2 linked regions of the Pelodiscus sinensis genome follow. The protein of the gene in region 1 purifies or fractionates together with the protein of each later gene. This does not show direct contact. Links are inferred from orthologs where the notes say so. Each region holds a gene or a part of one and is shown on either strand. Other genes may lie near its edges.

The links.
Region 2: the proteins of C9H1orf226 (region 1) and PLK1 purify together in Homo sapiens (affinity purification with mass spectrometry; 3 studies listed by BioGRID and IntAct, counting the BioPlex papers as one, with this or other methods). This does not show direct contact. The link is inferred for Pelodiscus sinensis from reciprocal best matches to the Homo sapiens genes C1orf226 and PLK1.

What each region holds. Positions count from the first base shown.
Region 1 is NC_134719.1:65,318,868-65,325,705, reverse strand, and holds C9H1orf226 (uncharacterized protein C1orf226 homolog), read right to left. Parts: upstream 2,581-6,838; coding exon 2,135-2,580; intron 931-2,134; coding exon 507-930; downstream 1-506. Other genes in the region: SPATA46 (spermatogenesis-associated protein 46), read left to right, coding at 3,584-3,689, 5,445-5,935.
Region 2 is NC_134726.1:39,868,842-39,876,274, reverse strand, and holds the start of PLK1 (serine/threonine-protein kinase PLK1), read right to left. Parts: upstream 3,019-7,433; 5' UTR 2,938-3,018; coding exon 2,542-2,937; intron 1,908-2,541; coding exon 1,739-1,907; intron 1,457-1,738; coding exon 1,312-1,456; intron 273-1,311; coding exon 179-272; intron 1-178. Other genes in the region: ras-related protein Rap-2c-like, read right to left, coding at 5,917-6,537. UniProt on the Homo sapiens protein: Serine/threonine-protein kinase that performs several important functions throughout M phase of the cell cycle, including the regulation of centrosome maturation and spindle assembly, the removal of cohesins from chromosome arms, the inactivation of anaphase-promoting complex/cyclosome (APC/C) inhibitors, and the regulation of mitotic exit and cytokinesis.

The sequences.
Region 1 (6,838 bases):
GCGGGCGTGGGGGGGCCCCACAGATCAGATCAGAGACAAGGCCGTGTGGGTTCGGGGGCTTGGCCAGCCCCATGGCAGATCAGAGGAAAGACTGTGCATGGACGGAAACACGGGTAGAGCCGTGGCCCGGGGCAGGGGCAGGGTCTGCGCAGGGCGGTGCTGGAGAGGGGCCCGTGGGAAATGGCTCGTGGCTGGCCCCTGCCCCCAGCCCCAGGGTTGCCTGTGAGACAGGCGCAGGGACGGGAGGGTGTAGGGTGAAGCTACAGCCCCTGCTGGGAGAGGGGAAGTCCTGTGCGGGGTGCCTGAGCCAGGCGGCCAGGCAGTGCGGGTGTGCATCCCCCTGCCCTGCGCGTGTGCGACGGGATATGGGGGCAGGGGTCGGGCTTCTCTCCGAGCCCCCGGGCCCGTCATGGATGATGCCCCAGAGCACGGTCAGATTGCCCCAGGCCTGCAGGGCAGGGGCAGAATGTCCCGGGGGAGAGGCGACGGCCCAGTGCCCCGGGCAGCTACTCAAAGGACAGGAGGTCCGGGTGGGGCCCCTCCTGGTCCAGGCTGCAGGGCTGGCGCTGGGACAGGCTGAGCCGGAGGGCGGGTTTCTCTGGGCACCATTCAGCAGCTCTGAGCTGGCCCTGCAAGGTCTCCTCCTGGAGGAGATCAGGCACGGAGAGGGCGTTGCCGTGGGGAGGCCCGGCCCCACTGGGCCCTGCTACGCCTGGGGCACCCAGCTCAGCGCCGGCCCCTGGCCGAGGCCCGGCCCCCGCCGTCTTCCACTGCTCCTCCTGGGCGGCCCGCTCGCCGGCGGCCTCCGCGCTGCCCGCCGCTGGCTGGGAGATCAGCATGTCCAGGGGGGTCTTCAGCGCCCGGGGCGCGCGCCTCTTGGCTGCGGGGGGCGGTGGGTCCAGCCGGGGGAAGGTTTCCAGCAGCACGTGCCTGTAAGCACAACGGCCCTGGTGAGCGGCAGACCCACGGCGCTGGCAGCTGCCTCGGGGCCCCCGGGCGCTCAACCCCCTGCACGCAGACACAAGCACGCCCGGGCCGCAGGAGACTCGCGCAGCGGACACCAGCTCCGACAGCTGGGCTCTAGTCTGCTGCACTCAGCCACTGTGCCTCAGTTTCCCAGCTGGAGGGTGCTCCAAAGGCCTCCTGGGAGCAGAGCCCACCAGTAGGTAAGTCTCAGCGGCCGTGGGCTGCGGTTATTCGTTACTTCGCAGCCCTCCTGCCACCTTGGGCTGTGCTGTCCCTGGGGCGGCGCCGCAGAACGGTGTTGTACCCGCTGGGGTGTGCGCAAGGCGGGCCGGGCGAGGGGGCTGCTGAAAGCCGAGGCTTCGCTGGCTGGGCGCGTGCTGCCCGGGTGCCTGGCGGACGTGGGTGTGTGCTGGGAGGATTGGCCCTGGCCTGGGAGTTCAAGCATTTGCTTCTGGGAGAAAGCAACAGGCCTTGCCCACCGCTTGTCAAAGGGGGAACTGCCCGCGCCTGACAACGGGCGGAGGGTCCCTCCCCGCCCGCGCCTGACAATGGGCCGAGGGTCCCTCCCCGCCCGCGCCTGACAACGGGCCGAGGGTCCCTCCCCGCCCGCGCCTGACAACGGGCCGAGGGTCCCTCCCCGCCCGCGCCTGACAACGGGCCGAGGGTCCCTCCCCGCCCGCGCCTGACAACGGACCGAGGGTCCCTCCCCACATGCGCCTGACAACGGACCGAGGGTCCCTCCCCGCCCGCGCCTGACAACGGACCGAGGGTCCCTCCCCACATGCGCCTGACAACGGACCGAGGGTCCCTCCCCGCCCGCGCCTGACAACGGACCGAGGGTCCCTCCCCGCCCGCGCCTGACAACGGACCGAGGGTCCCTCCCCACATGCGCCTGACAACGGACCGAGGGTCCCTCCCCGCCCGCGCCTGACAACGGACCGAGGGTCCCTCCCCGCCCCGCGCCTGACAACGGACCGAGGGTCCCTCCCCACATGCGCCTGACAACGGACCGAGGGTCCCTCCCCGCCCGCGCCTGACAACGGACCGAGGGTCCCTCCCCGCCCGCGCCTGACAACGGACCGAGGGTCCCTCCCCGCCCGCGCCTGACAACGGACCGAGGGTTCTGCCCCGCTCTCCAGCGGCCGGGCCGGGCCACGGCGAGACTCACCCTGTCGCATGGGCCTGATCCTCACGCAGCGCGAGCGTCCCGCCCACCAGCTCAGCGCCCGCGCGGGCATTGACCTCGGTCACCCAGGCCTCGCCCAGGCTGGCGGCCTCCCTCCGGCGCAGCAAGTCATTGACCTTGGCCCCGACGGCCTTGCTCAGGTTCCTGAGGTGCTGGCTTCCCGCTCGCAGGGCAGGCCCAGCGGTGTCCGGCAGGGCTGCCTGGGGTGGGCCCTGCAGGGCTCTGGAGACAGACCGGCTGGGCTGCAGCTTTGGCGCGAGGGTCGTGTTCGAATTCTCAAACAGGCTGTGGTCAGCTGGAAGAGAGGAGAGGAGGGTCGGCGCACGGAGGGGGACGCTTGGACGGAGAGGTGGGCTGCGGGGAGATGGCAGCACGTGATGGGCTGACACGTGGATGGGGGGGGCACGCAGGCAGGGCGCGCCAAGCATGGGGCAGTGGATGTGTGGGGAGCTGGCACGTGGGCAGGGTGCATTGTGCGTGGGGCGGAGGACGTGCGGGGAGCCGGCCCGTGGCCAGGGGGACGTGCGGGGAGCCGGCCCGTGGCCAGGGGGACGTGCGGGGAGCCGGCCCGTGGCCAGGGGGACGTGCGGGGAGCCGGCGCGTGGCCAGGGGGACGTGCGGGGAGCCGGCGCGTGGCCAGGGGGACGTGCGGGGAGCCGGCCCGTGGCCAGGGGGACGTGCGGGGAGCCGGCGCGTGGCCAGGGGGACGTGCGGGGAGCCGGCGCGTGGCCAGGGGGACGTGCGGGGAGCCGGCCCGTGGCCAGGGGGACGTGCGGGGAGCCGGCGCGTGGCCAGGGGGACGTGCGGGGAGCCGGCGCGTGGCCAGGGGGACGTGCGGGGAGCCGGCCCGTGGCCAGGGGGACGTGCGGGGAGCCGGCCCGTGGCCAGCGTGTGGTGCACACAACCTTCCCAGTGAGAGGGAACTCTCCCCAGAGCCAGGGCTGCACTACCCGGGTGCAGAGGCTGCGGCTCAAACGCTTCTGCCCGGTACGTAGCGCAGCAATGGCAGGGGCAGCATGGGGCCGGGGCAGAGGGGAGCCACCCAAGGCGAGCGGCACCCAGCCAGAGTCTGCCCCTGGCCCCCACCTTAGAGGTACGGCCGCCCAGTTTCCCTCGCCAGCCGTGGCGCTGGCCCGGCCCCCCCACTCCAGCAACAAGCTGTCCTGCCCGGCTCTGCCTGGGCGTGGAGCAGCTGCCCTCGGGGGCCGTGCCTGGGCAGGGCCCTGCGGGCGCGAGGGGCCAAGACGTGCTATTCCGCCCTCGCACAGCACGGGACACAAGCGGCCGCCAGACGCCCTCCCCCCGGCTGCTCCCGGCGCAGGGACTGTGAGGTCGGCCGGTGACGTCACAGAGCCAGGCCCCGGGAACTCCGGCCAGAGCCCCAGGATCTCACTGGCTGGCACCTGCTCCCTGCACCAGCTGCCGCCGGGGATGGAGAACTTCTCCCTGCTGACCATCTCTGGGCCACGTCTGCCCAGCTGTGCCATGAAGAGCCTACGCGACGCGCCAGCCCCCCGGCGCACTCCCAGCTTGCCAGGTAACGGCCCCCCCAACCTTGGGTCACACATGCCACCTTTCTCCAGCCCCTCCCCACCTCCCCAGCAGCAGCCCAGGCCAACCAGGAAGTGGAGGAGGGGTACGAGCCCTGCTGTACAGGTGGGGAAACTGAGGCACGCAGCCACCGCTGGTTTCCACGGTGGGCTCTGATTTTGGGGACTCGCTGTTAGAGCTACAGGGCCTGATTTTCGGTGCGTCTGCTGCCTGGCTGCAGGCGTCGAGACAGACACTACCCTGCCCGTGGCGCACACCACATCCCTCAGCTCCCAGGGGGCCAGACCGAAACTAAGAGGGGCCGGGGGACACGTGAGCAGCTGGGGAAAGCAGCGGCAGCCCCCTTGAATACCTCGATACACTCACAACCCCCACTGAGCTCACCTAGCTGTGGCCCCCGCACTGCTGGACTCAGCGGCCAGCTGTGCCACAATGGGCAACGCCCCTTTGAAAATGGTGGCCTAAATGAGTTGGACGAGGACCCACAGGGAGTCAGTAGCAGAGACCCAGCTCCAGAGTCACACGCCGCCTTTCCCAGGCCTGGGAAGTAGCTTCTGGCAGAGCTAGGCACTGGCGGATGGCCTGGGGGGGGAGGGGGGGTGCACGCGCTGGAAACGCCTGGGTCTGGCTCGTGTGGCGGGTAGCCCCGTGCAGGATCTCAGGCCGGGGTGGGCGCTGGTGAACCAGACAGTCCCTGCCTCCTACGCCTTCCTGACTCATCGCAGGGGCTTGTGCCCGAGTCAGGCCGTGGGGCCCGCCAGGGGCTCTGTGTGTCACATTGCACCTCCCCCACCCCATGGCTCCAGCCTGGCTCCGGGAACAGATGCTGGAGACAAGCTGAGGGGGGAGGGGTCCTTTCTCTGCTGCCAGCCCCACACTGCCCCCGTGCCTGAGGCCTCTCTGCCCTGCTCCAGACGCACCCCTTCCTCTGGGTAGCTGAGCAGCGGCCCCTGGGCACAGCACAACAGGACCCATGGGAGCCGGTGGGGTCCGACCTCCGACCTCCGCACGGAGAGTGCATCCGACCCCTGGGCTCTGAGCATCGGCCGTCCCACGGTGCCCAGCACAAGCCCCGCAGCTGCTGCCGGTTCCCACGGGAGCCCAGCCGTGGGGCAGATGGGCGGGCAGGGGAAGGGCTGGGCCCTGGAGAGCTCCCTCCCCGGGAGGCACTGAGCCAAGGCGAGCCCGGCCCCCAGCCTGCCCGGCGCTGGGCCCTGGAGAGCTCCCTCCCCGGGAGGCACTGAGCCAAGGCGAGCCGGGCCCCCAGCCTGCCCGGCGCTGGGCCCTGGAGAGCTCCCTCCCCGGGAGGCACTGAGCCAAGGCGAGCCCGGCCCCCAGCCTGCCCGGCGCTGGGCCCTGGAGAGCTCCCTCCCCGGGAGGCACTGAGCCAAGGCGAGCCGGGCCCCCAGCCTGCCCGGCGCTGGGCCCTGGAGAGCTCCCTTCCCGGGAGGCACTGAGCCAAGGCGAGCCGGGCCCCCAGCCTGCCCGGCGCTGGGCCCTGGAGAGCTCCCTCCCCGGGAGGCACTGAGCCAAGGCGAGCCCGGCCCCCAGCCTGCCCGGCGCTGGGCCCTGGAGAGCTCCCTCCCCGGGAGGCACTGAGCCAAGGCGAGCCCGGCCCCCAGCCTGCCCGGCGCTGGGCCCTGGAGAGCTCCCTCCCCGGGAGGCACTGAGCCAAGGCGAGCCCGGCCCCCAGCCTGCCCGGCGCTGGGCCCGGGCTCATCCCAACCCCTTCTCTTGGCAGCTTGTGTCCCCAGCGACATGCCGAGCAGCGAGCCCCCGGGGCGCAACTGCACCATCTACCGGCCCTGGTTCTCCCCCTACAGCTACCTGGTGTGCACGGGCCGGGCCAGCCCGCGGGAGGCCTGCAGCCGCCCGGACACGCCAGCAGCCAGCGCCCGGGACGCCGGCCAGGCCGCCGAGCTCCCCGACAGCCCCTGCTCCTCCTGCTCCCTGGAGCGGGCGGGCCCCGGCACGGAGCCCCAGGGCTGCATCACCTCCCGCGACATCCTCCTGGCGGCCCGGTGGCAGCCGGCGCCGCAGAACGGCTCCAAGTGCCTGGCCTGCTGCCGCGTCTTCCCCACCCTGCACTCGCTCAAGACCCACGTCCAGTGCGGCTCCCGGGAGGGCTTCAGCTGCCAGGTGTACTACCAGCGGCTCAAGGCCCTGTGGGGCAGGGAGGGCCCGGCCCGGCCCCACGGCGCCCAAGTGACGCTCCCCCGCAGCCCCCAATAAAGCAGAGTATTCCAAGCAGCCTGCCCCGCGGGCTCCCCACTGCAGGGAGGGACAGCGGCCCCCCCTCTCTCGCCACGGGGCCCTGGCTCCCGCTCCTGCGCGTGATTGGCCCCCCTGCTCCCTGGAGGGGTCGCCCCCCCGCTCCCCAGTGCAGTCAGCCTCCCCCCCCCCCGGCCCCACAGCCCCCTGCTCCCCAGTGCAGTCAGCCCCCCCCGGCCCCACAGCCCCCTGCTCCCGCACCCCAGTGCAGTCAGCCCCCCCCCGGCCCCCACAGCCCCCTGCTCCCGCACCCCAGTGCAGTCAGCCTCCCCCCCCCACTCCCTGGCCCCACAGCCCCCTGCTCCCCCTCCCTGCCGCAGTCAGCCTCCCCCCCACTCCCTGGCCCCACAGCCCTCTGCTCCCCCTCCCCAGCGCAGTCAGACTCCCCTCCCGCTCCCTGGCCCCAGGGCCCCCTGCTCCCCCTCCTGGCACAGCCTCCGCCCCCGCTCCCTGTCCCCACAGCCCCCTGCTCCCCCTCCCTGGCACAGCCTCCGCCCCCGCTCCCTGGCCCCACAGCCCCCTGCTCCCGCTCCCCAGCGCAGTCAGCCCCCTGGACCCACAGCCCCCTGGTCCCGCTCCCCAGTGCAGTCAGCTTCCCCCCCACTCTCTGGCCCCACAGCCCCCTGCTCCCGCTCCCCAGTGCAGTCAGCTTCCCCCCCACTCCCTGGCCCCACAGCCCCCTGCTCCCCTTCCCTGGCACAGTCAGCCTCCCCCCCCCGCTCCCTGGCCCCACAGCCCCCTGCCACAGAGGTGCCTGCACTAGCTGTTACGGTGAAGAGGCCTGGGGCTGGGTGTCCTGGCCAGTCAGAGCCAGACATGGGGCTGGGCAGGGGCAGCTGTGACAGACAACACGGGCCATCCCAT
Region 2 (7,433 bases), on another chromosome or scaffold:
TTTACTTCAGCATTAACTCAGCTTTCCCACGGAACCCCGTTCTATGCTTGTTTTCTCAAAAACAGAAGTGCCAGTGAGTCCAATGGGCTCACTCCCAAGTTAAGTGCACTCTAAGCACAAGCAGTCTTAGCTCTATTGGCTGGCAAGACTAACTCCCGCTCTGCAGCAGGCTCCATACCTTGGGGATGTTGTACTCATTCTTCTTAATTCGGATGTAGGTTTCTTTTAGACAAGAGGTTTCAAAGGGTGGTTTCCCTACCAGAAGTGTGTACCTGCATATTTAAGATACATAAGAGCCTGTCACAAGGAGAGCACACGATTTCCACATGAAGGATCATTTGCAGCAGGGGGATGAGACACCCAGGAGATGCAGGGCAGCAGGCAATTGTATTTGAAATGCCAGGTAGATCTCCAGTTCCCTGCTCCTTAGGGGAGGCAGCTGGAATCTGGTACCCTTGGGAGAGAGAACCGGTGAAACTCGGGACATCAGGTCTTTAAATGGACAGGATTCAAAATAACTTTCACTACAAGAAGTAAGCCTGCAAAAGCCAGTGGTTGTGGGTACAGGTAGGTGCACACACAGCAGCTGGCAGGTCAAGGCAAACAGGAACATTGTTCTGATAGTCAGATCTGAGGAGTTTTCCAGAGATAGTCAAGCTCTGATTACAAAGCAAACGAGTCATGAAGGAAGCTGAGACTCATCACCCATCTCTAGCCCTTGGTCACTGCCATTAGGAGTCTTGCTAGGGCAGCCTAATTTGCAAACCACTTTTTAAATTGTAACCTTTAAGACCCATTTACAGCCATATAGATTTGAACCAAGCTAGCAGTGTTCTAGCAAGAACTCTTCAAATATTGTTCTCACTAGAGACCAGCACATAGCTACATCTCAGGGCAATTCAAGCCTTAGGCCAAGTCTACAGGGTAGTGAAAAGTGTCTGTATAGACACAGCTAGGACAGTGGAAGACTTGTTCCACAGACGTAGCTAATGCACCTCTCTTCTGAGGGGTGGATTAATGCCATCGAGGGAGAAAGTCAGTGTAGAAAGTATCTGCACTATACCACCACAGCGGCTCAGCTACACCACCATAGCTGGGCCATTCTCACAGACATACCTTAGTCTGCACTTATCCAGGTTCTGGCCTGGACCTGATCACTTTTGTTTTATAGTGTCTCCTTTAAGAGGCTCCTCACAAGCTAAGATTAACTTAAAACCCGGACCCCAGTCTAGCGGACTGACCATGGCAGCCCTAAGTCCCAAATTTAAGGGCATGCAAACTAAAAACCTGAAGATTTGTCATGGAACGTACATAATGCAGCCGATGGACCAGATGTCCACTTCAAAGCTGTGTCCCTTCTTGCCCAGCACCTCGGGGGCGATGTAGTTTGGTGTCCCACACAGCGTCTTCTTACGTTCACCATCATATTCTACTTTGGTTGCCAAGCCAAAGTCACCTGGGAAGATTTAGGTACAAGAATATTTGCCTAGGGCCAGGCCGGGCACCAGGGAGACTGGTTTCCTTAGCTCAGAGTTCTCAGGCAATGGTGCGTGGACAGTCGGTCTCATCCTGTGAGCAGCAAGTGGCAGAATTATGGGCTACATCCCTCCAATACGGAGTCGGCCCATCCAAAGCATGGGATGTGCTCGGATCGGGACTTTACAAGGCCCGGAATCCGCAGCGAGCGGCGGGGGCTGGGCGGGCTCCCGGACCCGCTCTGTGCTGCAGGTGTCCGTACCTATTTTCACCTCCATGTCGTCGTTGAGGAAGAGGTTGCCCAGCTTGAGGTCCCGGTGAATGACCCGGTTGCTGTGCAGATACTGGCAGCCCAGGATGGTTTGCCGCAGGTAGTAGCGCGCTTCCGGCTCGGTCAAGGCTTTCCTCCGCTTGTGCAGCTCCAACAGCGACTGGGGGCCAGGAGAGAGGCAGGGTGATGAGCACCCCCAGCCCAGAGCCTGCCCCTGCTGCCTGGGGACGCTCTGCGGCGGGCACCCCCCCGTCCTAGCTCCACTGAGGAGAGTAACGTCGGGAAGGCTTGGGAGCACCCCCCACCCTGCACCGCTGCGCGGGGCTACTGGCCCTTTAAGGCGCTTCGAACGCTCGGACACGGTGGAACGCAGAGACAGTATCAGCGTTTCCGGCTGCGGCCCCGCTACCGCCCCCAGCCCCGTCCCCTGCGGGAGCCCCCCGCCCCCCCGCCGGGCCGGCAGCGCCCCCGCCGCAGGACAGGCCTGAGCCCCACGGGGCCCACGTCCGTCTGCAGGAAGGGAACGGGCCCGGCCGCCCCGCGTCCCGTCCCCCCCCCCCCGGCCGCCCCTCCCCCGCCGGCGGCCCCGCGTCCCGTCCCCCCCCGGCCGCCCCTCACCCGCCGGCGGCCCCGCGTCCCGTCCCCCCCCGGCCGCCCCTCACCCGCCGGCGGCCCCGCGTCCCGTCCCCCCCCGGCCGCCCCTCACCCGCCGGCGGCCCCGCGTCCCGTCCCCCCCCGGCCGCCCCTCACCCGCCGGCGGCCCCGCGTCCCGTCCCCCCCCGGCCGCCCCTCACCCGCCGGCGGCACAGCTCCAGCACCACGAAGACGAAGTCGCTGTCCTCGAAGAAGCCCTGGAAGCCCACCACGTGGCGGTGCGCCAGGCTGCGGTGGATGGAGATCTCCATGGACATCTTCTCCTTCTGGTGCGGCTTCACCAGCAGCGACTTGGGCACGATCTTGCCGGCGAACACCTCCTGGCCCTCCAGCTCCGTGATCTCGTAGCACTTGGCGAAGCCGCCCTTGCCCAGGAAGCGCCCGCGCATGTAGCTGCGGCGGGTGCGGGGATCCACCAGCACCTTCGGGATCTCCTTGGCCACCGCCGTCGCCCCGGGCCCGGGCCCGGCCGCGGCCCCCTTCCCGGGCTCGGCCGCCCCCGGCGGCTTCGCCCCCTTCCCGGACACCGCGCTCATGCTCCCGCCCTTAGCCCCGCTCTCGCCGCCGGCCGCCGCGACACTGTAACAATTTCAAACCTCGAGCCGGAGCGTTAGCCGCGCCCAGCGCGCTCCCCATTGGCTGCTACGATTTAAAATCCAAGCCGCCCGCCGCTAGGCACCATGGGAGCCCCCCCGCCCCGTTTAAAGGGACAGCAGCCCCGGGCTCCGCGAGCGGGCAGCCGCGAGCAGGGGGCGTCGCCGGAACATCCGGGCTCGCCCTGCAACATCCGCCCCGCTGTGCAGGCCCCTGCCCCACAGGTGCAATCCTTGCCCCAGCCATCCTGCCCCAGATGTGCAGCTCTAGTCCCTGCCCCCCACACCTGAGATGTAGGTCTAGCTCCAGCTCTCTGCCCCAGATGTGCAACTGTAACCCAGCCACCCCCTCCTGCCCCAGATGTGCCACCCTACCCACATGTGTAGCTCTAGCCCCAGCCATGCTGCCCAATGCACAGCAACCAGCTACCCTCTCCCAGATGTGCCACTAGAACAACCTCCCCTTCCCCTGTTGCACTTTCACAGCTTCCTCAGTGTTGCAGGCCTAGACCCAGGCTTTGCACTCGCTGCTTCATGCAGTGTAGGAACTGGCACCCCCAGGCACTGATCGGTGGACAGGTCACTGCTAGGGAAGAGCAAACATTCGCTTGCATCAGGGCCCCCGGCACAGCCTGACAGCCACAAGGGACCAGCCAAATCCCAGTAAGTCATTTTCTGAATGATTCTTTTTCCCCCTCTGCCTGCTGAGCCATAGGTGCTGGGGGGAAGCACATTACCTGACTTGAAGTGGTTTCTGTTATATATGGGACCTACAGTTTGGTTCAACAACTCTCCCACGCCATTTCTTTAAGTCCCAGGCATTAGCTTCTGTTGAAGGGGGCTATTAGACCTGATGGATGAAATAACCTAACCTGGTGCCACAACTTCTATTAATGGTGTGTTTGTTGAAGCATTAAAGGTCCAAATGTTAATCAAATGGATTAAAAACTGATCTGATACAAGCACAAACAAATTCATTGGAGGAGCAAATAATTCATTTGGGCCAGGTGATACAGATGAAGTTTCCAGTAAGACTGACATGAAAACAAGTTTGCTTGCTCACTCGCCTCGTGTGAGGTTTGTTTTTATTTTGTGACAGTTGTGCAGTTAATGGAAATTAAGCAAACTCGTAACCAAACAAGCCTATTCCAAGCAGAATTTACCCCAAGAGCAAGATGTGTCAGGGACTTCTCTGTGGGAAAGTCACATACTGTAATGCCAGGCAGCCACATAAGCCCAACAAGCAATAGGAGCCCTCTGTTTTGAGAAGGCCCAAGTCAGGCCAAGGTTACCCCTCCGTAGCATGAGAAACCCTCACATAGCACTGAGCTTGGCGCTGCCACTGCAGTGGCCTCCTAGGCAGCTTGCCTGTGTCTGGCCTCCACGGCTCAGTGCTCCTCCTCCCTCCCCCGGTTCAGCCTCTCACTTGCATGCTGCCCGACTGATTTTTCTGTAGGTCAGTGGCCCCTGCTCCAAGAAAAGGTTCCTCATCCTAGGCATATGGGAAGCAGACTAGATAGCAGCACTCCTGGAGCCTGAATAGGGCTCTGCCTGCCCCCACAGGACCCAGGCACTTAAATCATGTGGGGAACAGGTCCATGGGTTTCATTACAGGGAGCTAGAATGGTCATGGAACTACAGAAGGAAGCAAGTACCTTCATGCACATCTGGGTCACATTACAGTATGAAGCACTGTTTGGGTGGGGGTAGGTTCTACAATACACCTGCTATCCCCCCCCCCCCCTTATTTCCTTTCCACACCCTCCCACCACAGCTGGAGAGACTTCTAGCCTGCTGCTAGTCCAGCATGAGGGAGTCCTAGGGAGCCTGTTAACTAAGATACCATCACCCCTGAGCCATGGCAAGAAGCATGGGCTGGACTTACCCAGCCCCGTGCTGTCAGGTCTGCCTGTTTTTAGTGACAGGTTCCTGCTCCCCCACACTCAGAGGTGCTGTCACTCCACCCTTGTCTCCTTCAGGAGATGCTGCTTTGGGAAACATGCGCTGCAGGGGGGGTCATTTGGCTTCTCCCCCAGAGGGGCTCCCTGACCAGGACGGTCCCCACTGCAGTGCATAATGGAGGCCTGGGCCGCGTCCCAGGCTGTTTGCATCGCCAGTGCCTCTGGGCTCGGTCCTGGTGTGAAGAAACTGCATGAGCCCCAGCAGCACCTGCCTTGCAAATTAAGCCCTGTTCTGTCCCTTGTGGGATCCCTGGCCAGCTTCAGAGCTGCAGCTCACCGGCCTGTGCCCACGGGCAAAGGCACAGCCCTTTCCTTGGAGGGAGGTGGGTGGTGGGACTGACTGCAGGACCAGAGGTGGAGCAGCTGGGCTGCTTGATTTGTGTAGTAGAAGCTCAGCGCCCAGGTGCCAGCATCACAGGGGACCCTGCAGGTCAGGCCCCTACAGAATAGAAGGGGCAGGTGTCCCAGGGAAGGGATTCTGGCTGCTGACTGCTGAGACCTCACATTGTTGGAGGGGAAGCCATGGCGGAGGTGGGACCGGCCTGCACGGAGCATGAGAGCTCATCCTACCATGCCAGCTGGAAACCGCCCCAGAGCTCGGGTCCAAGCTAACTGGAGCCAGGAGGCTGCGCTTTGAGGCTTCCCCCGCCCTCTGAACCCAGCACACGGGAAGCGAGTGGCTGGTCACCGTCCGTGCGCTCTCCCTGCTCGCTGCTCCCGCAACTCTCCGCCTCCCGGTGCCTGGAGCCCCCACCCTGGAGAGCCGCCCTGAGCCAGCCGCGGCTGGCGGGCAAGAGAGGCAGGCACGGACCCCCGTCCAGGCGGCGGTACAGGGGGAGCAGAGTCCGCTCCGTGCCCGGCTTCTGGGGCCGTCAGCGACCGCTGGCGTCGGGGAACGCTCCGGAACGCGTCGCTCCAGCCAGGCGGCTGTCGGGGACCCGATCCCGCCCGGCCCCGGGCCCTAGCAGACGGCGCAGCTGTGGCTCTTGGCGCCGCGGCGGGGCGGCTCCTTGCCGAAGGGCTGGGGCCGGCGGCGCCGCAGGGCCGGGCTGAGGCGCCCGGGCAGGTTGACCTGGCTCAGCAGCTCCTGGAAGAGGCTGAGCACGTTGCGCCCCTGCTTGGCCGAGGCCTCCAGGCAGGTGCAGCCCCAGTCCCGCTGCGCGACGGCCACGCGCGAGTCCGGCTGGCCCGGCGCCAGGTCGCTCTTGTTCCCCACCACCACGATGGGCACCGGGCCCCGCCGGGCCTCCAGGATCTCGTCCCGCAGCCGCTGCACCTCGGCGAAGGAGTCGGGCTCCTGCAGCGAGTAGACCAGGGCGAAGGCGTCGCCGCGGCCGATGCAGAGGCGCCGCATGGCCGGGAAGCTGTAGCTGCCGCTCGTGTCCAGGATCTCCAAGCGGAGGCTCAGCCCCGAGCCCGGCTCCAGTTCCAGCTCCAGCAGGTGCAGCTCCTCCACCGTGCGCCGGTGCCGCGCCTCGAACGCGTCCTGCAGGAAGCGGCGGATCAGGGCCGTCTTGCCCACGCCCGCCGCCCCGAAGAACACCAGGCGCACCCGGGCCTCGGGCGCCAGGCTGGGCGCCATGCAGCGCCCTGTCCCCGGGCCGCCCGCCGCCAGGGAGTGCCGGGAGCCGCCCGCGCCCGCTGCTTTATAGCGCCCGCCGCGGGGTGCGGCCGCCAGCCAATCCGCCCGCAGGGGGAGGTGCCCGGGGCCGACACCTGCCGCCCCCCCGCCAGGGAGAGAGAGGCAGGGGTGCGGAGCGGCGAGGGTGGGGCCTGGGAGTGGCGGGGGCCGGGTGGCACCGGGGGACACGGGGAGAGGGGGACACAGGAGGAGTGAAGGGGGGTCAGGGGGCCCGGGGGAGTGAGGGAGGACGGGGGCCATATACCGCGGACTGTGCGAGACTTTGCGCCCCCGAACAGCGCCGATCCCGCTCGGAGCCGCTAGGGGGCGCCGCCGGGCCGGGCTCGGGCTGAGCGCGTAGCGCCCTGGCGCTGCCGGGCCCAGCCAGGGAGACGGGGGGGCCCTTTGGCCAGCGGCCTGGCCTGGGTGCTGGGACTAGGGCAGCAGCAGAGCTCCCCTGACGTGGTTATCATCATCTCCAACGTCACAGTTGGCTCTCAGCACCCCCCTGCACCTGGCTCAGCCCCCCTGGTCCCTGCCGGCCCCCCTGCCCTCACACGTGCCCCCTGGGCTGGCGCTATGGGGAAACTGCCCTGGAGAGAACTGGGCCCTGTGCCCGCTGAGCGTAGGGCAGGCAGGGAGAGTCCCTGTGTGGCTGGGTCATTGCCCGGGGGAGGCAGGTGCAATGGGTTGCTGGGCCAGGGGACCAAGCCCAGAGGTTGCTCTGCTGCCCAGTTGGCTGTGAGAAGCCCCCAGGTACCCCATGCGGGGCAGGATAGTGCCCATCCCTGAGCAGGTAGGTGCAGGGAACTGCCCGCTGCTGCCCCTTCGCCTGGGGAGCCAGGCCATAGTCGGCT